Tamandua tetradactyla: one gene and its partners. The protein of the gene in region 1 purifies or fractionates together with the protein of each later gene. This does not show direct contact. Links are inferred from orthologs where the notes say so. Each region holds a gene or a part of one and is shown in the gene's direction. Other genes may lie near its edges. The genes, in order: AXIN1, HIPK2, LRP6 and DVL3.

The links.
Region 2: the proteins of AXIN1 (region 1) and HIPK2 purify together in Homo sapiens (affinity purification with western blotting; 3 studies listed by BioGRID). This does not show direct contact. The link is inferred for Tamandua tetradactyla from reciprocal best matches to the Homo sapiens genes AXIN1 and HIPK2.
Region 3: the proteins of AXIN1 (region 1) and LRP6 purify together in Homo sapiens (affinity purification with western blotting; 7 studies listed by BioGRID and IntAct, with this or other methods). This does not show direct contact. The link is inferred for Tamandua tetradactyla from reciprocal best matches to the Homo sapiens genes AXIN1 and LRP6.
Region 4: the proteins of AXIN1 (region 1) and DVL3 purify together in Homo sapiens (affinity purification with western blotting; 3 studies listed by BioGRID and IntAct, with this or other methods). This does not show direct contact. The link is inferred for Tamandua tetradactyla from reciprocal best matches to the Homo sapiens genes AXIN1 and DVL3.

What each region holds. Positions count from the first base shown.
Region 1 is NC_135349.1:56,967,862-56,975,079, forward strand, and holds the start of AXIN1 (axin-1), read left to right. Parts: upstream 1-4,218; 5' UTR 4,219-4,306; intron 4,307-4,871; exon of another isoform or gene 4,872-7,218. UniProt on the Homo sapiens protein: Component of the beta-catenin destruction complex required for regulating CTNNB1 levels through phosphorylation and ubiquitination, and modulating Wnt-signaling.
Region 2 is NC_135327.1:183,030,866-183,038,524, reverse strand, and holds the start of HIPK2 (homeodomain-interacting protein kinase 2), read left to right. Parts: upstream 1-4,648; 5' UTR 4,649-6,053; coding exon 6,054-6,129; intron 6,130-7,659.
Region 3 is NC_135333.1:74,708,872-74,716,873, reverse strand, and holds the start of LRP6 (low-density lipoprotein receptor-related protein 6), read left to right. Parts: upstream 1-4,992; 5' UTR 4,993-5,304; coding exon 5,305-5,359; intron 5,360-5,457; exon of another isoform or gene 5,458-6,808; coding exon of another isoform or gene 6,809-6,824; intron 6,825-8,002. UniProt on the Homo sapiens protein: Component of the Wnt-Fzd-LRP5-LRP6 complex that triggers beta-catenin signaling through inducing aggregation of receptor-ligand complexes into ribosome-sized signalosomes.
Region 4 is NC_135336.1:2,424,898-2,432,104, forward strand, and holds the start of DVL3 (segment polarity protein dishevelled homolog DVL-3), read left to right. Parts: upstream 1-4,197; 5' UTR 4,198-4,264; coding exon 4,265-4,425; intron 4,426-7,207. UniProt on the Homo sapiens protein: Involved in the signal transduction pathway mediated by multiple Wnt genes.

The sequences.
Region 1 (7,218 bases):
CGGCCAGGGGCCCGGCCTCCCTAGCAGCTACTCACCCCCCTCGGGGCCGGAGGCCCACCCCTGCCCCCCGTCCAAAGGCTCGTCTTCCCTTGGTCCACTCGACAGGCGTGGCCTCCGGCCCTTCCCGGCATCACAGGGGGTGCAGTGGGGACGCACCATGCCTAGTTGAGAAGCCCTGCTCTCCGGACAGGGGTAGGCGGCCCAGGCAGACAGCCCCCAGGCGGCGGAGGGCAGCTGCAGTTGCAGGCCCCGTGCGGCAATGTGGCCGCAGCCCCAGGGTCTGGTGGGGTAGGGGAGGCCCAGGCGCAGGGCCCCGGTATGGCTGTGGCGGTGGCTGTGCCCACCGGGGTTCCTCCCTACACTTCTCCCCACATTTGCTTCTTTCCAGATGGGGCCTGACCTCAGCCGCTGGGGCAAGCCGGACCTGAAGCCCTGCTCTAGCAGGGCCATCCTGGGGGCCGGGCAGTGCCTGGAGCAGGTGCCCAGGAGGGCTGGACGGGGACCCCTCACTCACACTCGTGCCCTGCAATGGGCAGGAGCTGCACCGTCCAGCCACGCCCTACTCGACCCTCGGAGGGGACCCCAGTGTGGGCCCACCGGCCACCCACCTGCTCCCTCGGCAGTCGGGAGGGGCTGGGGGGCTGGTTGCCATGGCTACCATAGGGTTCCGAGGCCGTCATCTGGTCCCGCCTCAGCCAATCGGCGGCGGGAGCCCGAGCTGCAGCCTCGAGTCACGCGTCCCTCCCAGCCCCACAGTGGCCGAGCGGGACCTGCTGCCCGGACTGGCTGCCAGTGCTCGGACACGGCCAGGCCCGTCATGGCGGACAGCGGGAGGGCGGGCCGCGGGCCGGCGCGCGGAGCCAGGCAGGTGAGGTAAGCCGGGCGGGCGGGTGGACAGACGGATGCACAGACAGGTGGACGCGCTGCCCACTGTGGCCACGGCGTGGTCCTGCCCCTGGCTGGCCCGCCTGCCATGTCCACCCACCTGCGCACACCCACCCTGGGCCCTGTCCCCATGTCCTAGCAAGGTTCCCGGGCAGGGAAACAAAGAAGGCGGCGCGAGGCGGACAAGCCCCACCGCGCCCCGGTCCGAAAATCACCCTCCCGGGCCTTTCACATCAGATGTCACGAGGGCGGCATCAAAGACCCCCGACTGGCTGGCCCCTCTCCCAGCACCGCGCCCTGGCCCGCTGTCCCGTGCAAAGGCGGCGTGGCTGAAAGAGCAGTTTCCCACGAAGCATTTTTCAAAAAGGAAGAGGACAGAGAAAGAAGGGGAGAAGGACCGCCCATCCTAACGGGGGAGATGGATCAGAAACGCCAAATCCCATTACCCGGGCGTCCAAGGACAGCGGGCTGCGGCAGGGGCAGGGGCAGCACGCTGTCCAGGGCTGGTGAACGGAGCCCCTCGGAGATCAAAGAGGGTGCACGTGTGCGCGTGTGCGTGTGCACGCGTGTGCGCGCGGCCGGGGCGGCGGGGCTCAAAGCCTCCGTCGGGCGACGGTCGGGTCGCAAGGTGACCTCGGAGGAGCAGGTCATTTAATGCCTGTAGCTAATCCCCGCACTTTTGTTTGCCACGACGGATTCTGGCAGCAACAAAGGCGGGGAGGGGGGAGGGGGGGCAGCTCCGAGCGTGGCGGGCCCGGTGAGTGGTGGCAGTGCCCTGGGGACGCCGGCTTTCTTGGGGAAGTCGAGTCGGGGGCCCCACGTCCCCCTGCGACCCTGTGCAGTGTCTGAGGCTCGTGGGGGCGCCCCACTTTGCTGAGGGGACCCCGGTTCTGGGCAGCACCTCCTGCAGTCCCCACCTTCACCCGCACGCATCGAGGCTGTTGGGGGGTAGCTGGTACCCACCCCAGGCCTCGACGATTCCTTCCGACAGGAGAAGAGCCAGGCAGGCATGGCGGGGGCTCAGGCCCGTCTCCCTAGCACCTGGGCCTCTGGGGGGTAAACATGAGACCTAAAGGGAGAAGCCCTGGGACCGCGGATGGGGGACAGATAGACGGAACCTGGGCTGAGCCTCTGGTGTGGCAGCCAGGCACGGAGAGAGGAGCAGGGCACCCATCCAGGGGCAGAGGGCTCCCCCACTCCCCTAAGCCCCAGCTGACGTAGAGCTCTGGTTCCTGCCCTCCCGGTTTTCATTTCATTCTTGGAGATCCTGCGCTGATGTCTTCACACTCACCAGCTGTCCACGCTGGGCCTCGGGTGCCTGGGTCCTGCTCCCTGCACTGGGCTGTTTGATCCTAAAGACCCCCAAATTGAGAGGGGACTCGCCCCTGTGGAGAGCAGCCCACGTGCTGAGGCTGACCAGCCCCTGCTGCCCCTGCCAGGGCCCCTCTGGCCAGACCCCTAGTGGGGGGCCCCCTGCCCCCCTGCTATCCGCCCACAGGGCCCTGCGCTGCTCCCGGGCTCTCTGACCCCTTTCCTGTCCCTGCAGGCTGGCAGGCCCGAGGAGCAGGAAGCCCGAGGGCCGCGTCCTGGCCCCAGGCCTTGGGAACACCCGCCGCCGTGGGCCAGCGGGAAGACAGACGTGGATGCAACCCTGCGAGCCTGGTCTGGCCGCAGCAGCGGCTCTGCAGAGCCAAGGCAAGCGCCGGACGCGTGGGGGTAGGCACCCTTGAGGGCACCATCGGCTCAGCCCTTCCAAGTTTCCTTCACCCGTGGAACCCACGGTGCCATGGAGGACACCATCTCAGTCTCCCCTGGGACCGTGGGACACAAGGCGCTGCCTGCCCTGTCTGTGGCTGGTGTCCACATGCCCCTGCCATGTGGAGGCCTGGGGACACTCTCCCAGGGCCTGTCCTCCCTCTCGCGGCGTCACTGGGGTTGGGGTGCTGCCGGCCGAGGTTGGCTGCTGGCCCAGCGCGCGCTGGGCTGGGACTTCTGCTCTGCCCCAGTCAGTGCGGGAAGGGTCCAGAGAGGCCATAGCAGTGGCGGGAAAGGGTGGTCGGGGGTGTCAGTGTGGCAGCGGGGTGGAATCATGGTGGATGGCAAGTGACCAGCCACAGGGGGTAGAGGACAGGAGGGCCTGGCGGCTGGGGGTGCAGAAATGCAGGGTGCCCCAGGCCACAGGAGGTGAGCAAGGCCCTGACCGTGGGCCGCAGCCTCCTCACTTGAACTGGGGGTAGAGCTGGCCCCGGGGGGCTTTTGGTACATCCAGTACAGGGCAAAGGCCCTCACCGAATCACTGGAGGGGAGGAGATGTGACTTTGGGGGCATGGAGGTTGCAATTTCTGCTGCCACATCCTTGTTGTGGGGCGGCCCTGGAGCTGACCGCGTCCCGTGGGCCAAAGCTACTCCTGGGTGGCTGCCAGACCTCCGGGGCCTGTGGTGGGCAGGTGGCCAGCACAGCGATGGCCGGCCATGCTTCTAGGCGCCGACCGCAGACCAAGACGGTGCTGGGAGAGAGGGGTGGGTGCCAGGCCGGAACCCCCGAGGTCCTCGCCCTCAGGGAGCCCGAGGCTGCACCCTGGATGGTGCTGGGGAGACCTAGAGGCAGGAGGACAGCCCCTCCGCCACCCCGGACCTCAGCCCTCTGCAAGCTGCAGCTCCGGCCAAGGGTCCTGAGCATTTCCCGGATGCCTGGGGGCTGCTCGGGTCCTGGCCGGCTGGGCGAAGGTGGGCGGTGGGGCCGTCGGCGGCCCTTCAGGGCTCTCCCCAGCGTCGTCTCCTCTGCGCCACCCACCCCGGACACCGAGGCGAAACCAGCGCTTCTCCCCGGGCAGTCCCGGGACCCCGCCTGCGCAGCGCAGCCCCGCCCCGCCCCGCGGGTCCACGCCTCCGCGCCTGCAGCCATTTGGCTCCTGGCTGCGGCCCCGCCCCACGCTCTCGGTCCCGCCCCCACGCTCCCGGCCACGCCCTCAACCCCGGCCCCCCATGCGCTCTGACCCCAGTCCTACGCTCTGGCCCCGCCCCTACGCTTCCGGCCCGCCCTCACGCTCTCCGACCCGCCCCTGAACCCCGGGCCCCGCCCCCGCACTTCCGGGCGGCGCCGGCGGGGGCGCTCGGGCCTGGCTTCGGCGCTCCGGGCTCCGGCTCCGGAACCGACCGCTGCCGCCGCCGCTGCCGCTGCCGCCGCCGACCCCGTGCCATCGGACCCGAGCCGCAGCCACCGCGCAGAGGCCCGGTGAGCGGGGCGGTCGGCCTCGGCGGCGCCCAGCGCCTCCCCCGGGCCCGCGCCGAGGCCGTGGCGATGGGGGCCGCCCCCGGCCGCGCCCCCGCGCCGTCCCGCCCGTCCCGCTGCCGCTGAGCGCATGGGCCGCGCCGCTTCGGGAGCCGGGCCGGGTGCCCAGTCGCCGCCGCCGCCGTGCGGGTGAGTAGCGCGGCCGGGCCAGAGGGCGCGCAGGGCGGCGGGCGCCCATTGTAGGCCGCGCGAGGCCTGGCCGGGGGCGGCACCCGGAAGAGGGGCTAAGGGCGTGCGGGGGCGGGGGCGGGACGGGGGCGTGGGGGCCGGAGTGCGCGGCTCCTGGGTGCGCGGGGAGGCGAGGGTGTCCGGGGCCCGGGGTGCGCGGTGGGGCCGGGAGTGTGCGCGGCCAGGGCGCGCGGGTTCCCGGGGGGCCGCCAGACTGCTGTGAGCGGGGGGCGGGGCAGCAGGGGGGGGCCGAGGGAGCGCGGAGGTCGCGGGGGGCGGCGTGAGGGTGTCGCGCTTTGGGAGTCGGACACTGGCGGGGAATAGGGGCAAGGCCCCATGACTTGGGGTGTGCGGACGGGGAAGAGTCTGGGCGGGTTCTGGGCCTAGGGGTGCGAAAGGAAGTGAGGAAGACGCAGGGTTCTGCTCCGTGCGTGGGGCCGGGTGTGGGTGGGTGCCGCGGACCCTGGCGGGGGGCAGCTTTCAGCGGGTGAGTGGGTGCACAGTAGCTGCCCGGGCTGGATGGTCTGCAGGGATCCTGCCGCCGCCTTGCACCCCCCCCAAAAAAACAGGAAGAGCTGTGTGCACTCATGGAGGGCACCCCCTCTCTGTGCAGGATGCTGTGGTTGGCTTCCCTTACCCCTCAGGATGATACCTTGCCACCAAAAAACCAGGTGTTCCTCCTGGGTAATGAGTCTTAAGATTTTTACCTGCAACCCACACTTTGCAGCTTAACACCCCTGATGAAAGGAAGCAGCAGGTAAGGTAGTAAAACTTTTAGCTTGTCGTTGAGGATAACAGAGATGTTACCCTTCAGGTGCTTTTCTCAGCCCCACTCTGAGGCAGTTGTAAAGGTCTGTATTGTGCACATGGGCCCCTTTTTGTTCACACTTTGGTTCTCAGGTGTACTTGGGTCTTTGCTCTGAACTGGATCACAGAAATAGCCAGCAGAAGCTCGAGTTTGATTTTAGAAAAGTCTCTCCAGGGACAGGGGTGGGAATACATTTGAAATACAAGGTGACTTTCTTGGATGTAGAATTTTAGAAAAGCTAAGTGACTTTCTTGATTTAAGTTGGTTCTTGAGAATCCAGCTAGTGGGGAGTGGGTTGCATTTCAGACAATAGCCCTGACTCTTCAAGAGTTGAATTAATGGACAGTAGGAAAATTGTCAGAATTGCATACCGTTTCTTTCACTTTCCACGTAATTCAAAAATTCGGAAGTTATGGCATACCGTTTCTTTCACTTTCCATGTAATTAAAAAATTCGGAAGTTATGTTTAAGTAAAAGATGTAACCACATCCGTCCACAGATATGCTTGTGTGGTTGCTCTTGGGGTGGGCCACGTGGGGGCTGGGGTATGCCCAGGTAGTGGCAAAAAGAAGCAGCCTCTTAGGTCCCTTTCATGGAAACGCTCTATCGGTGGTGGTCCTGGCTGGGGGCCGGCGTGGTGCTTGCTGGCAGCTCTGACCTGGACTGAGGGAACTGTTGTGTGTGTGCAGAGCAGGGCCCAGGGCAGAGCCGAGTCCTCAGCGCCTTGGCTCACCGGGTGCCAAGGCTGGGAACAGGTGGGCCCATAAGAAGTGGTTCTTTTGTGCTAGAAAACTAACCCAGGATGGCCAGGTTGGACTGGGTTCACACATGAATTGAAAGGTTAGTCTTGAAAGCTGCAGTTTGCTAATAAGGGGTCAGAGTTCAGGTTTGCTGCCGTGTCTGTAACAGCCGCTCAGCACCTGTGAGGCGCTGGCGTGGGGAGAATGTGACAACTTTCTTTTTCCTTTATGTCCGTATGTATTTGTCGGTGCTGGTTAGTTGCAGGACCTTGTAAGTGCTGTGTGTCCTGCAGGAAACATGTAAATCAGAGCTGCTGCAGGTGGCTGCGTGGACACATGTGACAGAGGCTGTAGGGGAGTCACCCTGGTGATCCAGTGTCTCGCTCCTCCTGTGAGGCTGTGAGCTGTAGGCTCTCTCCACGGGTGAGCACAGGTGGTCAGGAATGAGACCCTCTTTCCCGAGATGGCACCCTGGACGAGAGGACATACAGCATGACAAGCTGGGGCAGAGCTGCGGGCACAGAGGTGCTCCCTTGGCATGAATGGGGCTGAAAGAAAGCGGCTTTGCAGCCAAAGTGGCCTGTGAGCCGCAGGTGCCTGGCTCCCGGGCCTCGACCTTAGGTAGCAGGCTGTTCTGGCTGCTCCCCGGGGCGTTTTCCTAAGAACTCTTTAGCTGCAGAAGTGCCCTGTGGGCCCTCTGCAGCCTTGGCAGTGTGGTCTTGTTGCTCAGCGGGCCCTGCGCTCCTCGCAGCACGCCTCGCGGAGTGGCCCAGGGTGGGCTCGTAGCAGCTGCCACGGCCCCTGAGGGGGCTCTGGCTTACCATCCTTGCCCCTTGAAGTACCCTCCTTCCACCCGCTGTGGGAAGGGTGTTCTCCTTACCGGAAGAGGGTAGCCCACAGTGCCCTCAGCCTGTCTTCTGAACGAAGCACCCGTGAGGCCGGGGCTGGGGTGGCCTCCTGGCTAGCTGTTATGGACATGCGCTGAGCTAGGGCCCACACAGCTTGCCCTGGTTGCAGGTTGTTGGTGGGGGCGGGGGGTGTGCTGGAAAACTTGCAGTTTTTTGGAAGGAGAGTGTGGCGCCCAGAGGGTCTGGGTGTGGCAGCCCCTTGGAGCACAGGCTGGGTGCTGCAGTGTGTGGGGTCCTGCAGGGGAGAGGAGCTGCCTTGCCCTCCTGCTCTGCGGCTGAGGGGTGCCTGCGGGCTGCGGGGCCGGGTGTGTGCGTCTCCCTGCAGGCGGGCTGTGAGCCGGAGAGTTTCCAGAGATGGCGTTCCGAAGGGGCACCCTCATGGCCCGCTGGGTCGCGAGGGGATTGCGGCCAGAGCCC
Region 2 (7,659 bases), on another chromosome or scaffold:
CAAAAGGTTAAGCATAGAGTTACTGCATGACCCAGCAGTTCCACTCCAAGGTATATATACATGAGAAATGAAAACATATGTCCACACAGAAACTTGTATCCACGTTCATAGAAGCATTGCATATAATAGACAAGAATTGGGAACAGTTGGAATGTACATCAGCTGATGAATGGATAAACAAAAGTGGCATATCCATACAGTGGAATATCATTTGGCAATAAAAAGAAATGAAGTATTAATATATGCTACAACATGGATGAACCTTGAAAACATTATGCTTAGTGAAAGAAGCCAGACACGAAAGGACAAATATTGTGATTCCGTTTATATGAAATGTTGAGAACAGACAAATTCATAGAAATGATAAGTAGATTAATGGTTGACAGGGGTTGGGGAGGGAACAGGAGGAATGATTGCTGGTGGCTATGGGATTTATTTTTGGAGTGATAAGAATGTTTTAGCATTAGATAGCCGTGATGGTTAACAACTCTGAATGTACTAAAAGCCACTGAATTGTCCACTTTAAAAAAGATGACTTTTATGGCATGTGAATTCCATCTCAACAAAGCTGATATATATGTATATATATTTAAAGCTTCCCTGAACTTGCTGTTGCAGTCAAGTCCTTTTTGGACATATGTAGGCTAGGGGGCAACTGAAAAGAGGTGGAAAGGTACATATTAGGACAGGCTAAGGGTTGATCCTGCACGAAGAGGTGGGTTTGAAAGAGCTGGGCTTTCGGAGGCATGTGTGTGCTCTGTGGGATGTTTTTTCCATATTTTAGAATGTCTTTAAATCTTAGTTCTAACTTCTTACTTACAAATTCAAGGTACATCCTGTAGGTTTCAATGATTAATGAATAAAGGTTCATCCTCGTCCGTTTTTTGAAACATTTTATTTGGAAATAATTTCAAACTTCCTGAAAAGTTGCAAAAATAAAAATAAGACAAAGAGTATCTCCAAATCCCTGTACCCAGATTCACGTCTTATCTTTTTACTTCATTTGGTTTATTTCATTTGCCTGCATGTTTTTTTGTGAATGAACCGAGGGTAAATTATAAGCACTATGCTTTTTTATTCTTGTGCTGCCCATTTTGATGACCACTGGAAGTAGCTATTTAAATTAATATTAAGTTCAGTTCCTCAGTTATACTAGTGTCATTTTCAAGTGTTCAATAGCCACTGTTTTGGATGGCATGGATCACAGAGGTCTATTGGAAAGTGACGCTGTACCCTAAATACCTGTGTATTTCCTGAGACTAAGGTGTTCTCTTATGTAAACACAGTGTAATAGTCAAATTAGAGAATTTAACACTGATACAGTACTTTTATCTAACTCACAGTTTGTATTCCAGTGTTGTCAGTTGACCCAATGATGTTGTCATTCCTTTTTTTAAAAAATATTTTTATTGAGAAATCTGCACACACATACATTCCAGGCATGTTGTACAATCAGTAGCTCACAATATCATCACATAGTTGTGTATTCACCAGCATGATCATTTTTAGAACATTTGCATGACCCCAGAAAAAGAAATAAAAAGGAAAAAAAAAAAAACTCATACACCCCATACCACCTGTCCCTCCTTCTCATTGACCTGTGTTCAGTCTACCCAATTACAATCTAGATAGTATTTCAATCTACCCAATTTATTTTACCACTTATCCCCCCTATTATTTATTTATTTTTAATCCATATTTTTTCCTCATCTGTCCATACCCTGGATAAAAGGAGCGTCAGACACAAGATTTTCACAATTACATGATCATATTGTAAAAGTCATACTGTTATACAGTTGTCTTCAAAAATCAAGGCTACTGGAACACAGCTCAACAGTTTCAGGTACTTCCATCCAGCCACTCTAATACACCCTAAATTAAAAGAGGATATCTATATAATACATAAGGTAACCTCTTGACTCTGAAATCTCTCAGCCACTGAAACTTTATTTTGTCTCATTCTCTCTTCCCCATTTTGGTCAAGAAGGCTTTCTCAGTCCCATGATGCCAGGCCCCAGCTCATCCCAGGAATTCTGTGCCATGTTGCCAGGGAGATTTATACCTCTAGGAGTCATGTCCCATGTAGGGGGAGGATCTCATTCCTTTTTGAATGTAGGTCTCCTCTCTTCTTTGTGAGCTTACCTCTGCTTGGTTTATGTTAGGAAGAGTATATGGAATTAAGGCTTTGTTTATTTCTTGAGTTGAAGGTGTTGCTTTATTATATGACCCTTCTGCCTACATACTTGAATCTTTTTTCTAACTCATGTGCACATGGATTAGGTCTGGGGCCTGGTGCCCAGATTGCATTTCCATGGCTCAGAGTTGTTTTAGTGTCTTTGTCACTGGTTTGATAACTCAAGGTATAGCTTCCTCTGTCTCCTTCGGTACTGACCGTTGGTCTCTGAACAGGTCTGGCCCTGCTCTTAAATCAGCAAGAAGGATTTCCTTTGTGTAAAAGGAAATTGGCCTCCCCACCAACAGCACTTTTTTTCTTTTTTCTGATAACTTTTCCCAAATTGTAGCTTGGAACTAAAGCTTATGCTGCTCCTCATTTGTTGTCTGTTTTATGGCTGAATCGTGATCCTGTAGCTCTTAGTGGCTTCTTGTGACCCAGTACCAGTGGTGCACAGAGAAGCACCCTGCCCTAACTGGAGGCCAGGTGTGCAGGGCCCTGGTGATTTTCAACCATGGTTTCTGTGAAGCAGTGGAAGGGGTGGGGGCACAGGTGTGAGTACGTTGACAGTGGCTTCTACTTTTGAACTAACTGGTGTTAGAGTTTATCTTCCAGGGAATTCCTGGTGATTTAATGGGACTTTATCATCAGAGAACTGTACCCTTATAGCATGTGTTCAGGAAAACAGACCTCTGGGTTGCTGACTTCACTTGCATAGGGGTTTTCTTCCCCTCTAGTCATTCTCAGCATTTGTGGGAGTAAAAGGTAGGAAACAAAAAAAATCAACAGGCTTATTCTTTCATCCTTTCTTATATTTCCATCTGCCCCTTAGAATTTATTCTCATACCTTCTCCCACCTTTTGTTTTGATTCAGCAGTTCTTGGAATTGAAGAATATTTAGCAAGGGAAGAGTTACAGAAGGACTCAGTAGGAATCCTATATGAGCCATATAGTTTGCGCCAAGAAAGAAAAGAAAAATGGACTCATGCAGAGACAGTGGAAATGGAGCTGATAGCTTCATTTTATGCTTAACTAAAAACGAATGGAATGGGCTTGGCTGGCAGGGTCAGAATCATAAAGGCGAGCAGCTGAGAGCTGTGTGGGTCAAGACAGGATGGAGTTTCTGCCCTTCACCACCGTTTGAGAACTGATATAGAGAGGACTTTCTGTGCTGCGTCTGCTAGGCTCATTTGGAGGAAGTAAACTGAGTGTATTAGATGCTGGTGAAAGAAGCGCAGAGCTTGCTTGAGCTGCATCCAGCCATCAGAAGGAAAACGAAAATTATCACATTCTCCATTCATATCCCAAGTGTTACCGGAGGGATCCTAATTGACTAAATTGTTTTGATTGACCCACGTCTTTCTACAGAGGATAGGTCCTCCTTTACTCTACCACCCCCAGCCCAGGGATTCCTCTACTGAGTTAAGTTTTTATAATATCTGATCTTGTAATCCCAGCTTCGACTAGAGGGTATCATCACAAGACAGGAGCTCACAGAGCCAGTCTATGAGCTGACTTAGTTTTAGATCAGCTCAATCCTTGGAAAGATGTTCACTGAGAATTGGGGCTGGAGGGGATCTTTGGCAGGAGTGTGTGCTGTCCACTGTCTGCAGAAGAGCGGCTGCCACGCAAGCTCCCTGTTCAGGTCAGTGGGGCCACTGCCCACCATGCCTGGCCTGTTTCCTTTCTGTGTGGAGCACAGCACCAGCTTTCTCCTCCTAGTCACCCATGCCCACTGCTTCCACTCAGTCTTGGATTCTTTTCTTTGCCCTCTCTTTCACCCCTGTCAGTTGCCCAATTCTATCAAGTGTCTGCTGTACATGGCCTTTATGTATTTTCCCAAGGACACCAGTTTTCTTCATTCAGGTTCTTACCACTTTACAGATGTACGTCTGAGTCAGCTGGTCCGTGGTAGAGTCACAGCCTCCAGTCTTTTGTCACTTTAGCCCATTTTCCATTCTGCAAATAGACTAATCCCCTCCTCCCCTCTCAAACATACCCTGCTGTTCCACAGTACCTACAGGATAAAACTGAGATCTGGCACTAAAGAGCCTTTTACACCCCAACTCCAGCACACCTTTTCAAACTCATGTGTCACTCTTTCCTCTCCAGGAGACTTGGCTGTAGTTAGACATTTTCATTCTTCCTTGGGTTCCCTTTGGTTGAGTTCTGTTCTTTTTTAACTTTTTTATTGTATAGTATAACATATATAAAAAGCAAAGAAATAAAAAAGCAATTGTTTTCAAAGCACTCTTCAACAGGTAGTCACAGGATAGATCCCAGAGTTCGTCATACACTACCATATGATCCTCTCAGATTTTTCCTTCTAGCTACTCCAGAATGTAGGAGCCTAGTTTAGTATAAATATTTTTTCCTTTTTTTTTTTTTTTTTTTTTTTTTTGCATGGAGCACTGGACCTGGGAATCGAGCCCGGGTCTCCAGCATGGCAGGTGAGAATTCTGCCTGCTGAGCCTCCATGGCCGGCACCTTTTTAAATATTTTTTTTTTTTATCATTGCAATCAACTTATTTTTTTCTTTTTTGTGAAAAATAACATATATACAAAAAAGCAATATATTTCAAAGCACAGCACCACAATTTGTTGTAGAAAATATTTCAGAGTTTGACATGGGTTACAATTCCATAATTTTAAGTTTTTACTTCTAGCTGCTCTAAGATACTGGAGACTAAAAGATATCAATTTAATGATTCAACAATCATATTCACTTGTTAAATCCTATCTTTTCTGATAACTCCACTATCACCTTTGATCTTTCCATCCTTTTCTTTATGGGTGTATGGGCTATGGCCATTCTAAATTTTTCATGTTGGAAGGGACTGTCACTAATATGGGGTAGGGAGATGGAACTATCTGATGGTCTAGAGAGGCTGGGTCCTCTAGATTTCAGGTCTTGGCTGGTTCCAGAAACCCATCTTGAGGTTATAGGTTTTGCTCTCTTATTTCTGTATTGTGCTTTGTATTGTATGAGTATACTACCCCAGGACCTCTGGGAATCTTAAATAAAAATTGATCTTATCTGTTCCCTAGCCTGAATTGTTTAGAGAGAGAGAGAGAATTGTAGATCTCAGAGAGTCTAGGTATCCACATACAAGGGCATTTCCCCTAAGTCAGAATGTTCTTTCTGGGGTCCTAGTAGGAGATCAGAAGCACAGATTTTGAGCAAAAAACTTGAACAAAATGCACTATGTACTTTTAAGGGTATCTGTAAATTAAGAAAGCATTGTCTGCTCTAAGAGATATTTTTCTCTAAAGAACATAAATCAGGCACCTAGAATCGAATACCCTCCTTCGCTCTTAACAGTGAAAAATTTCAGCCTCTTATTTATAGGCTTCACTAAGACCAACACCACTTTTCATTATAATACCATCCCTCTTTATTTTGCTATGTTTAATATAGTTCCCAAGTTTATCAATATTCTTGTTTATTACCTCTTAAGTCAAGCATTTTGGAGTCACAAATAAGATGGCATTTGAAATGCTGGATTCTGTAATTTTTGAGGATTTCTTCTTTTAGGACTACAAATCTATATTCATAAATTAGCCTCGGTACCACGTAACACCCCTACTAGAGAAGTAGGGGTGTTATGCACTTGACAGATGCTTGTGCTTCAATTCTAGGAACCTCAATCTAAAATCCCATGTAAATAAGGGACCCAGAATAGTGTTTGCTTGCCCATTAATGAATCAGTGGTTCCCTGAGTGTATATGCAATGCTATTTTTAAACCCATTGGTGACTTCAGTGATAAACAGGGTACAAAATGTGCCTTGCCAAGCTTGTGAACGTCCCATGAGTGATATGCATGGTTATTATGATGTCAAAACCTGAATATTCTTTATCAAGAACATAACCATTGCATCATGGAACACAGGAATGCAACTGGAGGGGTGGAGTATGCTTTGAAAAGTCACTTTTTTCTCCCAGTAGGGCACTTAAGTGAGTATTTAGAGGTGCCAAACACCCGTGGTCAATTTAAAGAGTATCTTCGCATCTTTTATTCACCAGAAAGTCATCTTCTCAAAGTTTCCAAACCAAATGAAACATTTGTGATTGATAGTCCTATGCCTTCTACTTATTCAGAAAAGTTAATATATCGTGATTTGTTTGTACACATTTGAAATCACTGATAATTGTGAGGTCCAGGGCCTTCATTTTACACATCAACTCCAGGAAACATTTTCACAAAGCATGGCAATGATGTTAAAGTGTGAAAGATAGGGATTGAACTATGTTAGAATTTTTTAAGTTGTCTTTAGAAATGTGTGCTCTGGTTTCTTCTTTCTTTTTCCTTTTTTTTTGGTGCTGTGTTTTGAAGCATGCCAAGCATCAAAATATTACACTTATTAATTTTTATTTACAAATGCTTTATACCCATTAAGCAAAAACTCCACCTGTTCCCTCCCCCCATTCCTTGGCCACTTCAAATCTACTTTCTCTGCAAATTTGCTGTTTCTAAATATCTCACATAAGTGACATCATTAAATACTTGTCTTTTATATGCCTTGCTTATTTTACTCAGTTTATTGTTTTCAGGGTTCATCCATATATAGCATGTCAGAACATCATTCATTTTTTGGCCAAATAATACTCCATTTTGTGTATGTACCAAATTTTGTTTACCCATTCACTTGGATTGGATTTTTTCCAAATTTTGGATAAGCTTGGTGTTTATCCAAACACTTGAATTGTTTCTACCTGTTGGCATTGCAGATAATGCTGTTATGAACATCGGTCTACAAGTATCTGTTTGAGACCCTGTTTTCATATACATTGGGTAGAGATCTAGGAGTGGAATTGCCAGGTCACATGGTAATTCTGTACTTCACTTTTTGAGAAAGCGCTAATTGCTTTCCACAGTGACTTTCCATTTTTACATTCCCACCAGTAAAGCACTAGCATTCCACTTTCATGCCATCCTTTCCAACACTTATTTTCCATTTTTAAACATAACCATCCTTATAGGTGTGCAGTGGTATCTTATTATGGTTTTGGTTTGCATTTCCCTAATGGCTAATGATGTTGAGCATCTTTCATGTACCATTAACCGTTTATATATCCTTTGGAAAAATGTCTGTTCAAGTCATTTGCCTGTTTTTAAATTGTATTGTTTGTCTTTTTTGTTGTAAAAATTCTTTAAGTACTTTATATTCTGGATATTTAACCCTTATCTGATATATAGTTTGCAATCTTTATAACTACCTTGAACCTCAATACAGATTCATTGGGGATGACTGCTGTTTCAGTTCACTAGAGCTGCTGCAATATAGCAGAAATGGATTGGCTTTTTCAATGGGGATTTATTAGGTACAAGTTATAATTCTAAGGCCATGGAAATGTCCAAATTAAGGCATCAGCAAGATACTTTCACTGAAGAAAGAGTGATGGCATCTGGGATCCCTCTGACACATGGGAAGGTAGCTGCTATTCCTTTGCTCCCTGGTTCCGTTGCTTTTAGATTCCATGTGT
Region 3 (8,002 bases), on another chromosome or scaffold:
GTCTCTGAAAACTACACTCTTCTTGAGCAGAGGTGCTAATCCTCCTTCCTTCCAAGGCAAATCCATCCTTCAGTGCTCCAGAGCCTCTGGGAAGTCTCCAATTCATTTTTTCCTCCTCTTTACTGGATTAGTCACTTTGCATTATTAATATGATTATGTTCTTTTAAACTTAAAAACAAAGTAACCAATCAACCCTAACCAAGACCACCCCAAATTACTCCACGCCTAATTCCTTTCCAACCACCCCAATTATTCTCTTTCCTTCAATCACAAAACTCTGAAAAAGCCACTGTCCTCCCTCCCTGTTTCCCATTCTTTTTTCAATTCACTGCTGTTTTGATTTGGCTCTCATAACTCTGCTGAAACTGCTCTGGGTACAGTCACCAATGACTTTATTTCGTTCACTCTAAGTTTATTAGTGATTAAAAACAACAGCAATTTGAATTAAAAAAAATAAAAAGTAATACCCTCCTCCATACTAGTTGAAATAGTTAAGTATCTGAAGTAGAATTGCCTCCTTTTATCCTTTAAGCACATTCTCCTGCATCCAATCTTAACAATTTCATGGTTATCATCCATAATTTTTGCTTTGTTTATCCAAATCCAAAACAGATATGTATGCCCCAGTATAGGATTTCTCTCCTTCTCTCTCCCTCTCTTAATTCCTTCTTTTCTTCTTAACAAAAATTGCCACTACTATGGATACAATTCTGTAGTTTGCTTTTTCCATTAACAATGTATCATGGCTATACTTCCAAGGCAATACATGAAGCTCTAATTCTTTTTAAAAGCTGCAAAGTATTTCAGAATAAGAATATGCTCTTGTTAATTTACTTCTTGAAAGGTATTTAAGTTCTTTCTACTAGGTTGAACGATATAAAATTCAGCTTTTTTTTTGTGGGCTCATTTTTTCATTGTTTTCTATCACAAGATTGTAACGAATATCCTTGTATACATATCTTTATAAATTTCTGTTTCTGTGGATAAATTCCAACAAGTGAGGTTCTTACTTAAAGGATATGTATATTTTACTGTCAGATTGCTTTCCTAAGTTGTTGGTATAATGTATGGTCCCATCAATGACCTTTTGAGAAATTATAAGTCACAATGGCCTCTTTTGGTGCTTCCTTAGCTGACTTCACAGCATGCTCTATCTGTCACATTGTCCAATCCTTTTGTGGCAACACTTTTCAACATTTTCCTCTTGCCTCTTTTTGGTCTCTTTCCCTAACTTCTCTTCTTCTGCTTGCCCCTAGATCCTTATGGACCCTGTGGTTCTGCTCTGTTCCACTTTGTTAGTTACACACAATATTCTCTTTAGATAAATTCATGGTTTCAACTATAATCTCTACCCTCAGCCCACTGTTCACCTGAAAGGTGACTTCACCTGAATTAGAAAAAGGTTCCATTTCCTAAAGAAGTATTACTGCTACCTCCCAGAAAATTATGGTAATAATTATTCCAGTCTACACTATGTCCCCTGGATTGTGCAGTGCACAAGCTGCACAACCATCACTGATGGTCATGTTTCCATTCTTCTCCTGAGTCTGAAATTATGTGTCAAAACTGTCTACTGGACATCTCTATCTTTTACCTTTAAAATATTTTAGAGATACTTCTAATATAAGAGACACTTGTTTAATTTACCCACCCCCTCTTGAAATGCTCCTTATATATTTCTTTTCTTGGCAAAAGAGACTCCTTTTCAGTCAGGTGTTTAACTTTGAAATCTGGAAAACCATCCTAAGCTATTGCACTATTTTTCCTTCTCTCTCTTGCTCTCTCTCCCACCACTTTTCTTTCTATCTCTTTATCCACATCTAACAGGTTACCAAGTCCTGCTGTTTTAATCTCCTGTTGCTCAAATCCATCATCTCTTTTCAATTCCTAGTGCTACTGTCCTGTTCATCCCTTTCATAGACTTCTAAAATAACTTCCTCATGGTCTTTCTACTTCTTGCTTTAATGCCCTTTTATTTTCCACCCTGCAGCCAGATAAATTATTTAAAATGCAAATCAATTCTCTATCATGTACCATGTGCAAAATTCTTCACTGTCCATGTTATCAACAAGGCAAAAGTCTACATTTTTTAGCATGGCTTAAAAAGTCCTTTATTATCCAATGCCTATTTAATAGTCTTGCTCATTTTCCAACATTATGTAAAAGCAACCATTGCTTCAGCTATATAGATCTACTTGCAAATCCCCAACATACCTAGGCTTCTAAACAATTCAGTGCCTTTGCACCTGCTATCCTTCTGCTTGGAATTCCTTGTTAGTCTTGTTGGCTTGGTACGCGCCCACTTACATTTCAAGCCTCAGTTCTAGGGTTATTTCGCCTTCTTTGAATTGTCCAGGCAGAACTAAGTGCTTCTGCACCTGTGTTCCTTGTTGATATTAATTATATTAATATTAATATGTAATATTAATTATTAATCATTTACTTTATTAAATAGTATTTCCAGACCAGGTTGTAAGCTTCCTGAGGGTAGGGACAATGATTTCTCTTATCTTTACATCCCTGGCACCTACAAAAAGCAGTGATGGGCATTTAGTAGGCACTTAATGATTATTTATTGAATGAATGAGAAAAACAAATTAGTTATGTAAAAAGAATATCATCCTTGCAGGGCTTAAGCTTAAAGTACAGATTTTCGCTTTAAAAAAGTATAGTAAGGAAACAAAAATTAAAGGAAACTTAGAAAAGTAAATTTCAAATTATTTCACTATACTAGTGCTTATTGTATTTACTTTTAGTCTTTGCCCACAAAGGTGATATTAGATTATATATATATGATGATACATATCATATGGCTGTAATTAAAAGTACATGCACTTTTTTAAAAGTTCAATTGTGAACATTTTCCAACACGGTTTCACAGTCCTTCAAATTATCATTTCATGGGGTTGTATAAACATCTCATTCCCCTACTGTTGGAGACATAGGTTGTACCTGGTTTTCTATAACAAACAGGAGCAGATATAGGTTTTGTGGTATTTGAAACTTACACAATTTTAAGAGCTGTTTTAAGAAAGAATAATACAAAATTAGTTTACTTTTGCAAATAGGACCATGTGAACACATTGTTAGGGCCCCTCTCAGGCTTTGGAAGGCATATGTGAAAGTTGGAGGTTCTGAAGGTTAACTTACATAAGCTTCACAGTTCTCTACCTCTGATTAATACCCCTGCAGTAAACATTCTAGGTATGTAATGATTTCTTTATCTTCCATTATTTCTCCAGTTTGCAAATTACTATGGCACATTTCACCTTGCTAGAGGTGAGACAGAAAGGAAATGGTCATTTATTGAGCATCTATTACATATTGAGCAACTGATATATTATTCAATTTAATCCACACCACCCATTTTACAGATGAGAAAACTGAGGTGCAATGCATTTAAATGTCTTGCCCACGGTCATATAACTAATAACTGATAGAATTTAGATCCTAACCTGTTTATGGTTCCAAAGCTCATTTCCCCCTATAACAACACGGTGTCTCTACCCACTCACTGTCTTCACTTTTACACATTCCTCTTCAGCCTATTGCTGAAAAAATTTACTCTCAGTTATCTGTTTTGAGGAGATCAGAATACAAAACCTACAGGATCTGGACATGGTTCTTGGAAGAAAGTAATTGAAATCAGCGGCGGCTAGACTTTTTCAGGTGAATTTAGGCAGTAGTAATTTGGCTGTTTCTGCCCTTTTTCTGCTCTCAGAAGTGCAGTACTACTGGTTTACTGTGCATTTCTTGGAAGGAGTACAGTATCTGAAGTCAGAAGATCCGGGTTGGGTTCAGGTTCTGTTATTTACTACGTAAAGGGTCTTGGGTAACCCGTCACTGAAGCCCTCAGGGTCTCATTTTCCTTCTCTGTGTAGTAAGTATAAATAGTAACAACCCCAGGGTAGTTTTGAGTGTCAAATCTGATAATGTGTGTGCAAGCACTTGGTGAACTCCAGTATCACTGAGATATTAGTAACACTGCGGAGTAGCTTCACTCCCTGGTCCACATGCCCTGAGGTAAGGGCGAGTGACAGCTCAGTAGAATCCACCTGATGGCTCCATTACACTTAACTCTTAGGGTGCTTCTCCCTCAACTGAAACCTGCTACGTGATTTCAGGGGACGTCTAGGCTTTTATTGCTGAATGCTCAGTACACCTGCGTAGAAGAGGCTGTGCAGTTAGTGTCTGGAATTTGGAGGGGAATCCTTTCCTCTCCAAGTTGAGAATTGATCGAAGCATGCCGCATATTCATTATTAAAAGCAACTTGTAAAATCCCAAGGGCTGTTTTGTCGAATAGTTCTTTTGCTCTGTCTTAGGTGCTAACGCATTTATCTTGCAATTTTACCTGTCAGTCCACAGATCTTTAGCTCTTTTCGAGCTCAATTTTGGGCTGGTGTTTGAACATCCTTCATAGAGATGCACGTTTAACTAGCATTATAGTTTCTACCTTCCTAAAAAAAAAATTGCTAAACTGATTTCCAACGCCGAAGTTACAACTCATTCATCTCCGCGTGACAGGATCAGCTGCGGATCGTCGAGCGTGGACTTGGGCTCTATCGTCCCCGGCCCGCCGCTTCCTCGACCCAGAGGTCGCCCGGAGTGTAGCCGAAACCCCACCTGGCTCTGCTGGCGGCCGCCGCACAAAGAGCGTGGCAGGCGGCGGCCCGGCCGAGCCGCAGAAAGTAGTCCCGACCACGCCGTGTCCAATGCTGTTCGACGTCGTTCACGCCCTCCGCGGGAAGGGCCGCAGCAGCCAGCCTGGGAAAGAATCCCATCGGAATGCGCCGCCGCGTGGCTTTCCCCACTCGGCAGCGGCCCGCGGTAAGCTCACCCCTGCTCGCCCGGCAAGCCTACCGAGGTCTCCAAGCAGAAGCCGTGCGCGCGCCCCCCTACTTTGCATAACTGCTCTGGGGGCGTGCCGAGAAAGGGGATTCGTCCGCGCGCAGGAAGACGATCGCGGCATTCCAGACGGCGGCGGACGGCTGGCCGTATCCCTGCGCCGCTGAGCGAGAGGAAGAGGCTAAATGAGGAGCTGCGCGGGGGAAGCGGGGCTCCTAGGGAGGCGGCGGCGGGATGGAAGCAGACGCTGCCGTCGCGCGAGCCCGGGGCAGAGCGGCGCGGTAGGGAGAGCGGCGGCGGCGCGCGCGGAGCCTTGACGTGTGCCCCTTTCTTCTCACTCTGGAAAGCTGGGAAGCATGAGCGTGCAGTCCTGCCGCTGCGGCGGCCGCCCCGGCTCCTCGCCTCCCCCTCTTCTGGTCGCCCCTCGCTGGTGAGAGGAGAGAACGCGAGAAGGGAAGATGGGGGCCGTCCTGAGGAGCTTCCTGGCCTGCAGTTTCTGTGTGCTCTTGAGAGGTGGGAAGGGGTGGGGGCGGGAGAGTTGATGGGATTTAGGGGTACGTGGCCTTGTGTGTGTGTGTGTGTGTGTGTGTGTGTGTGTGTGTGTGTGTGTCTGGGGGGAGGGGAAAGAGAGACGGAGGGAGGAAAAGGAGAAGAGGAGTGTGAAGAGGCCTGGTCTTAGAAAAGGAGAGAAAGGGGCCCTGGAGAAGGGGCTGTGCGAACGCCTGGCCACAGTGCAGACTCCTGCCTGGCTTTCCCGACCATATGTAGCCAAATCTGAGCCTCGATCCGGCTGCTTGTCTTAGTGAACCTTAGAGCCCCATTTCTCCGGTTCTAATGGAATGACTGAGAGTGTGCGTCTTTATGCTTGGAGTCATCAGGGGAGAAGATCTTTGGCTTTTAAAGTGTTGAAGCTTAAGGTGTTTCGATGTTGGCCTTTCTCGTAGCCTCCACATTTTGCGTGCCTTTTAGGTGGACTTTTAGAACCCTCTTACTATTTTTCCAGGTATATTACAAGTAATAATTGGCTTCAGCTTGGCATATAATGATTCTGAGTGAGAGTAGAGTTGAAAATGACTCCAGGGCTATAGGTCGAGCTTTTCGCATTCGGAGTCTTCTGAGCTTCAGCCCATAATAAAATAGAAACGTTGCCTTTAACCCCTGGTATTCACCCTGGTATTCAGAGCTTGCCCCTATTTTCGGAGCATGCAAGTGTACAGTTGGCAGTAAATACGAAAGTCATCCTTGTGTGAAGCAGGGACCTGTCCTGAGACCTAAGTTATCATTTGCTAAATAAATACCTCTGGGGACTGCTTGGCACTTTGGTAAAGAAGCTATTCTAGATTATTTTGCTCCAAGAATTACTGAATTAGGTGGTGCTGTGGTATTTTGGATTGGCCTGCAGAGCTGACATACGCCCTGTGACTTTTATTTTGTGACAGTCCACGAAGATTTTTGACTGGCCAACAAGATTTGCGACAGCTCTTCTCAGACTTACTAGTGTTGAAGAGGTGATGAGTCTGGTGCTATTGAGCATTTACTAGCAAAAGAATTAAAGCACTTTTGGCTTGTACTTTGGTTTTGTTAGAATTCTTATTTGTGTTCACGGTCAGTTCTTTAAAGATATGGGGTCTCTTGAGTTTATGGAGAGGTTTTTAGTTGTAATTTAACCAGTAAACTTTTAAAGTCCTCAAAAACTAATTGGTTTCCAGAACACCATAGTAACTAATGATCTCATGGATGTCAATGTGGCAGATATACCATTTCTGTGTGTATGTATTTATTTTGGATGAGTGATTGACCTTTTTTTTTCTGAGAAAGAATTTTTCCTTTACTTGTATTTTATACAAGTAAAGGAATGTTATATTATGCTTAATAATAATTATGACTCTGTGTATTCCAAATTCTTTCCATATATAACCCCAGTAGGATAGTGGTCATTTAATTTTCAAAGCAGAGACTTTAATGCACTGTTATGTATGTGAGTATATTAAGTATGTTTATTTTATTATAGTGTACTTCGTGTTGAAAGGGGGTTTTCTTACGACTGAGAAACTGTTATATTTGACACAAGATGATTATTATTATAATTTTAAATAGAAGGTTAATAGTGTTTACAAATATGAGAGCCAGCTGCTTTTTTTTAGTCTTGGAGAAATCTAAATCCATAACCAGGGATGCTTCTAGTTGCCCCATTGTATTTTTTGTAGGGTAAGGGTGTGATGAAAATGCCATTTGTTTATTTAAACACTAGGTTTGTTCATTATTGGATTTTAGATAAGTTGTACTTCAAGTAATGTGTTTTTGAAATATGTTATTATGTAACAGACCTAGAAAGGGTAATAGTTTAGATTGCCTAATTTCCAGTAGTAAAAAAAGTTTCCAAAAGTGGATCTTTCATTTTAATTATAGCATAATAATGGATAAGGTGGTCTTTGAATTTAATGGTAGTTAACTGAGTGCATATTATTTGAACTGAATTTCTTTTGATGTAAAACATTTTTGTTCATAATTTAGATTCTCTTCATTCCTTCATAATGGATCATCCTTTTACAATAGTGATACTTAGCCAACCTTGGACTGCAAGGACAAAAATGTGATTAATTCGTTGCATTAAGGTCATTTTTCTTCACAGAAGATTGTAGTTTTAACAGTGGAGAAGATGAGGCGGGTGAGAGTGATGGGGGAGTCCTTGTGTATGAGAGAGTCTGGGGTTCCTTTTGTATTGTAGCCCTGTTAATTTAATAGGCGAAAGCCAAGGAATAATGCTGTTCTTCATCACGGTTGCATCCATATTTTTATGACCAGGTGACAAGGTGTAATGGAAAGATTTGGAAATTTCAACCCTAAAATCCTGCGTTTTAAGTTGAATAATCTTCTCATTTACAAGTGAGGAAACTCAGATTCAGAAATCATAACTTGATTAAGATCCTAGAGCTATAAATGATAGAGTATGGATCTATTATTCTTTGAGTAGTATTACTAAAAGTATTATTTATTCTTTTTAGCAAGTGTGTATGGAATACCAAATATATGTGCCAGGCTCTGTGGGTATAGTCTAAGTGAAACAGACCATGGTCCTTGCTCTAAAGGAGCTCACAATCTAGGATGCCATCCTACCATTTTCTTAGTGCCTTCCAGGTACATACTTATTTAGAT
Region 4 (7,207 bases), on another chromosome or scaffold:
TACAGTATTCTTCACACCGCCAGCAACCATGTGCTCCCATCCTGACTGAGGAGTTGGAATGAGGAAAAATGGGATGGAACAAAGCTTCTGCTTAGGAAGGAGCTTAGCAGGCCCCACAGCTGGAGGAAGGCCAAAGGAACAACTTTGTGCTCTGGCTTTTCTTCAGGGAACAACAGAAAGCAGCTAGCCTCTCTGCTGCTTGTATTTGTTAATAATTAAAAGAGAGAGAGAGAGAGAGGTGTATTGGTTTCTGTCCAGTTCTTAACTGACCAGCCTTTGAAGTATGCCAACAGAGAATTCTGAACCTCTGACATGGCAGTGTTTCCCTAACACCTGGGGGAGAGAGAGCAGAGGGCTATTATGGCCACTAGGTGGTACTGTAGTGCCTGGCTAATTGACTAATCTATGGCTCATAGGTAGCATAGGAACTAGATTCTTTTCCAGCCACCGTGGATCAATTCGTGGACCTGGGAAAGTTGCTGAGCCTATGTCTATGACACTGTTCTGTCAAATTTAGTATTTTGTTCTGAGTGATGATGCCAAGCTTATAGAATGCCTATTACTACTTGCCAGTGTCTCTCACATGCCTTCTCCACTTGATCCAGTGGTCTCTACTTCTCCACTAGTCCTGTCAGGGAAGCTGGGCCACTCTCCATCCTAAAAATAAGGAAATCTGCTTATGGTTGCATGCCGCTTGGGTGTTAAAGCTAAGGATTTGGCACTCATAATACAGTGTTCTTTTTGCTCAGCACAATGTCTCAGTAAAGGAGAAATTGCTCCCAGAGGCAAATATAACCCCAAGCTGGCAATGGATATCCTGAAGACCACATGAAGGCCCTATAAAGCAGAGTTTCCCTAATAATGAGTTTCACTTGGTTACCAAATGAAAGGCATTTTACTAAATATTTTTCATGCATTATTTTAATTAACCCTCACATTAGCCCTACAAAAGTTGGTTTTAACCCATTTTCAGATGAGTCTGGAGCTCAGAGAAGTTAACTATTCTGAGGTCCCATAACTAGTGACTGAGAGAGCCAGGATGTGGTGTTGGACTCCAGTTTAGTCAACTCATTTTATTGTTTCCCTTAACCTCAACCTTGAGAACATGCCCTCTATCTCCTCTTTTTGAGCTGTTTGTTGCCTTTTTGTAACCCTCAACTTGATACTTAAGCTGTGGCACATGCTCTCCCGGGCATCACAGATAAAACGGTTGCCTTCAGTCCAGTTGGTGGAGTGTTGCCTCCACTTGAGGGGCATAAAGACATTGGGTATTTCTAAAGGAAACAAACAGGTTGACCAGAGTTGGCTTGATTTACTTTTCTGGTTCAGGAAATCTCAGTTTCTCAGTTTCTCACAGGACCTAGTATCCAAAGAGCATGAAGATGGTTATGGCATGGATCTATTAGGAGCAGTTAAATACAAGTAGCTATAAGGTAACTCTGATCTGTGATGTAAATAGTGTTAGAGGAATGCAAAAAAAGCTGAAATCATTTTTTAAAAATGCAAGATAAAGGGGAAAAAATGAGAAAATTAAAGGATCAATCAAGAAGGTCCAAAATTAGACTAACAGAAGTTGCAGAAAAATAACAGGAAAAAATAATAGCAAGGATGCTATTAAACAATTCAAGGAATTGTTGAATTTCTAGATACAAAGGGTCAACTGAATACAGTTGTTGAATTTCTGGATACAAAGTGTCAACTAGTAAGTAGTACAGTGAAAACATCCTTACCAAAGCATATCATGCATGAAATTTCAAAATCCCAGGGATAAAGTGAACTTCCTAATGGCTTCGAGAATGAATAAAAACAATTTGTTTACAAAGACTTAGGGAAAATAAAGGAATCAAACTGCTCAATAACAACACTACCAGAAGACAATGGAATGATGCCTTCAGACTTCTGAAGGAAAATTATTTTTAACTCAAAATCACATATTTTCAAATAGGGAAGTTCTCAAAAAAATTTCCCATGATTCCCCTCAAAGAAAGCTACTAAAGGATGTGGTTTATGAAATCAAAGGAGTAAAGTATCCAGGAAACAGAACCAACATGGAAGAGGTAAAAGGGATTCCGAGGGTGATGCAGAAAAGTCCCAGGGTGACAACTGTGCAGTAGACTAAAACAGCCAGCAGTATACACTAGAGCGAGAGAGGATGGAAGACTCCAGGGGAAAATGGATGCATGGGTTATTTAATGTGATGGGTACAGTATATTTTTAAAGTAAATGAAATAGCAAAGCAATAATGCCAGGAGAATGAAAAGTTGGTAAGGGAGTATAATCATGGAGCACACATGACTTGGCAGTAGACAATCATAAAGAAATAATGTCAATACAAAGTACTACATTGACAACCAAAAAGTGTGATTTCATCATACTAAGATAATAGAGCAAGGTGGAAGAGCTAAGTCATAATAAATCAGAATTGGAAATCAATAGGCAATGTTTAGAATACATATATCAAGAAATTATGGTAGTAAAAAAAGTGATAATTCGGGGGGTGAAGATGGTAATGGGACAGGGGACTGCTGTTTTTGTTGTTAAAAAGTTTCTTAATATTATCTGCATACATATTTCTTTGGTAAAATTTGAAAATTAAAGAGAGTAAAGGGAACGGAATGAAGTGGAAATATACAAGGTTGTATGCAGGGGCTAGCAAGTGCATTGGCCAGGGGAGTTAAAAGGTTGAGGAGATAGGCAAAGGCTATAAAGATATTTATATTTTGACTAGTGCATCTCCTAAAAAGAAAAATAAGATAAGGTCCATAATCTGGAGGTCAAATTATGGAGAACCTAGAATAGCATGTTAATACTTGGAAATTGTTGGGGAATGTGAGGAGGTTTCTGAGCAGATCTGAAAGAGGTGCTTACTCTTTAAATGCTATTTTGCCAACTGTACAAAACAGAGTAGGATAGCTTGCACTTGTTACTGTGGCCTAAAAGGCCCTATGCGATCTGTCCCCTGCCTATCTTTCCAGCCTCATCTACCACGGTTCCTCCCGTCACAATGGCATTCTTCCTGTTCCTCAGATTTAGCACGCTTTTTCCTTTCCTGAGCCTTTATAATTAGCTGTGCCCTCTTTCCCCAGATCTGATAGCTTTTCCTTCTCATCAGTTAGGTTTTAGTTCAAATGGAAGAGGTCTTCTCTGATCAACCCATCCTGAATATTCTTCTTTCCCCTGTCACAATCATAACTCCATTTTATCTTGGTAGTATTTATCATTCTCCAAAGTTATTTACAAGCCTGTGAGTGTCTTTGGAGGTCCTGAGGGCACCCTTATGTGTCCTGGTTACTGCTATATCTCATGCATAGTACCATTGCCTTGCACATAATAGGCACTCAATATTTATTAAACGAATTAAAAGCTAGGGGTGAAAAAAATAATAAAAGAAAAAAGCTAAGGGTGAAGAGATCTGTTAGGGAACAGTTATATCTAGTTCTGATTTAAGACTTAACTGTCCCAATCATGCATGTATCAACTCATTTATCGTTCAATCTACTTATTAAACCACCACTATGCACCTGATCCTTGCTAGGTCAACTGAGGTAATCAGGAGAAATCAGAACTGTGCAGCCCTCAAGCTGGATTTGGTGGGCTCAGTGACAGCACCCGTGCTTCTCAACAAATCCTAAAATGCCAAGTTGTTCCTTTCCTCCAGGGATTCATAGACTAAGCCCCCTTCCCCCAGATCATCTCTGGGGACCAAAGCGACCCCTGCTTTCCACCCCTCCCTGAATGTTAAGGAGGCATGGATCCCACTTGGGTCCAGAGACAGAATCTCCATCCTGGCCGAATCTCCCTTTCATCTCCGTGGGCCGGGGCGAGCCCAGTCACGCTCCTTGTGGGCCCCGGACCAGAGCCAAGGTGTGGAGCGCCGCTGCGGGATCTGCGGGGCCCGGGCCCAGGCCGGGCCTTCGGCCGCGGGGCCAGCGCTGCTCGGCGGCCGCCGGGGGTGTGGCTGCGCCGGGGCGGGGCGGCGCCGGGGACGGGGGAGGGGAGCGGGCCGGCCGCAGCCCAGTGCCGAGAGGGCCGCGGCCACCGGAAGAGTCTCGGTCGCCCGCGGAGCTGGAGAGCGGGGAGCGGAAGCGGCGGCGGCGGGCGGCGCTGGGACCCGGGGGCGGCCGGAGAACAAGGGAGCTGGCGCCGCGGCCGGCCGCGCAGCTGGGCTGAGCCCCTGGCCGCGCCGAGCGCCGCCTTTGCCCGAGAGCCCGGCCCGGCCGCCCGAGCAGGCCGCACACGGGCCGCCGGGCCCGAGGCCGGAGCCATGGGCGAGACCAAAATCATCTACCACCTAGACGGGCAGGAGACGCCGTACCTGGTGAAGCTGCCGCTGCCCGCCGAACGCGTCACCCTGGCGGACTTTAAGGGCGTCCTGCAACGACCCAGCTATAAGTTCTTCTTCAAGTCTATGGATGACGACTTCGGGTGAGGAAGGCCCCGCCCCGCCTCCTGCCGACCCCAGCGCCTCAGGTTTTTAGGGGCTTCTGGGCGCAGACCAGCCCATCTGGGCCGCCTTGGCTTTTTCGTAGATTGGAGTCACAGCCCCCTCGGGCTCCCCTGTCACCTCCTGTGGTGGGATCCTTCCCACTTTGGGCACCCTCGTTAGGGGGATGTCCAGCTCTCCAGGAGCAGTCAGAGTTCCTCCTAGGCAGCACCCGCACGTCCTCAGAGGGACAGACAGACACACGTCCCTCCACCCAGTCCCAAAGCTCGCCTCCTGCCAGGTGAGCCACCTTTTAGCGTAGACTTGAGGTGTTTGGCACTCAGCCTTTCCCCTCTCCATCTTTTGAGCTCCACGACTCAGAGCCATATTTGGAGGATCCCACATCTAAGGGCTCTCTCCTGGGGGCTCTGAACTGGGGGATGGGGATGGGGAAAGGGCTCCGGCGCCGGGCTGTATGCTGGGGCCTGCAGAACTGATGTTTATTTAGCTGTCTCTCCTCTCCCTTTGGAATTTTCGGGATGTTGTCAAGGGATTGGAGCACCTGACCCCTGTGGAGGACTCCTTACTAACCCAGGTGCTGGTCTCCCCTCAGAATTGGGGCCTGTTTCCTCCAGATGGTGGCTGAGAAGGAGACCTTGGGAAGGGCCTCAGAGTCTGGATGGGAGGGTCAGGAGGAATCTCTTGTGTTCTCCATCTTCCCCTCCTTAGCGGGGTCTTCCCATCCGCCCAGCTGCAAGGCTTTGGACAGGCGGAGTTTGGAAGCAGCCACTTCCCCTTTAAGAAGGGATGGAATGCTGGAGCCAGAAGGTTCTGTAGCAGCTGGCCTTGGAAGGAGAGCCTGGTGGATCCTCTCACCCCCACCTCCCCAACTCCCAAGGGATGAGGGGGGAGGGGGAGGCCCCCAGCACCAGCCAGGCTGAGAATCCAGTGTTGAGCCCAGAGGCCCACGGGGGAAACCTCCCCCACCCCCACCCCTGGCCGTGGGGCCTGAAGGGCGCTTTCCAGCCCTGGCCTGAGGCCTGCTCTGTGCCCTGCAGCTGAGGCCCCAGAACTGAGTGGAGGAAGACATTCTTTTCCCCAGTGGTCATCAGTCTAGCTTCTTTCCCAGAGCCTCAGCCTCCTGGCGCCAAGAATCATGCACCTTCTATCTTCTGCTTGGCGTGTTTTGCTATCACTTTCTACCCTGGAACTCAGGACTTGAAAAGCCCATGAAATCATGTGTGCAAAAGTGCTTGGTACAGAGGAAGTGCTATGGTGATTCGAACTGTTCTTGTTTCAGTTGTTGTTTTTACCCAGGAGTGGATACTCCTGGTCTGGTGATGAATCTCTGGCTTCAGTCCAGAGACAGACACCCCTGATTGGATGATTCGAAAGAGAGATTGATCTGGAAAAGGTGGGGTGAGGGAAGGGTGGATGGTCTGGCATGGCATGGGAAGAAAAGGTCTAGAAGAAACTGATAACACCTTGTAATTTGGGATGTGGGAAAACCAACCAGTATGGTAGGGCCACCCTGGGTCCGGCCAGACGGGCTGAGGGGCTAGCATAGTTAAAATACATTAAATATATATTTAACTATTGAACTAAGCAATGTTCATTCAGGTACCACCTAAAATCATCTTGTATACATCAGTGATACCCTTTGCAAACTATCAGACTAGGACATTTTAACAGGGTTGAAAATAATGCTAAAAACAAACTGGAGGAAATTGAGTTTGTTTTTATCACCAGAATGATAAATAAGCAGGAGACCTGGTAGGGCTAACTTGTCACCAAAAGCAAAGTAAACAAAACAATACCAACAACTAATAGCTGAGGAACATATGTATATAATTCCATTTATTTAACAAACCCTTTTATGGTGCTTACAGAGTGTCAGGCACTGATCTAAATCCTTTTCAAATCTTCGTGCATTTAATCCTTATAACAGTCCTGTGAAATAGGAAGTGGTATTCCCAGTTTACAGATCAGGAAACTAGAGCACAGAAAACTTAAGTAATTTGCCCAAGGGCACACATCTGGCTCTAGAGTCCCCAAGGCATATGCTTCCCGAAGTCTATCCTTACCCATCCAGTGGTAGAAGCATATTCTCTCTGTGGGAGATGTTGTGTCTTGGTAAACTGTAGAAGTGGTAAAACTGTCATGTACCCAAGCCCCGTGAGAGGAAGTGAGCAGAGGCCAGGGACCTGCTGGCAGATGGGAAAGCCGGTCAGAGGAGAAAGGCTGCCGCTCTCCAGCCTCAACATCTGTGTGCAAGGTTTACCCCTAGAGCTTGATTTGTGAGGCATCAGAGCTCCCCAAGTCTCATCTGGGTTCCAGAAGTATTTGTCAGGCTCAGGGTAGGAGCAGCATTCTTAAGTTATTTGAAAAATGGAGGAAGGATAAACGTTTTTCAGCCCTAGGTTGACAGTGGATGGAAGAACAAGGTACCCCCTTTGAACCTCGCTTTGAGCAGCATGAGGGGGCAGCATAGGGAGTGAGGTCACTTAACTGTGTTGCTTCCTCCTGCATTTCACACACTTTCCTAACTCTGGGCCTTCTGCCTGGAATACTCTTCACCTGTCTCCCTGTCCTTCTGGTTGAACATTTCCATGAGAACTCTTCTGGCACTTTATCCTATTTATCCTTACAGCCCTACCCAGCTGCTAGTTAGGATCAGATACATAAATAACACTCAACAGATCTCTGTCCAATGAACAAATCTGCTGCTTTGACTGCTCTTCCCACTTGCAGTGTTCTTACATGAAGTATGTACTGGACCATAAC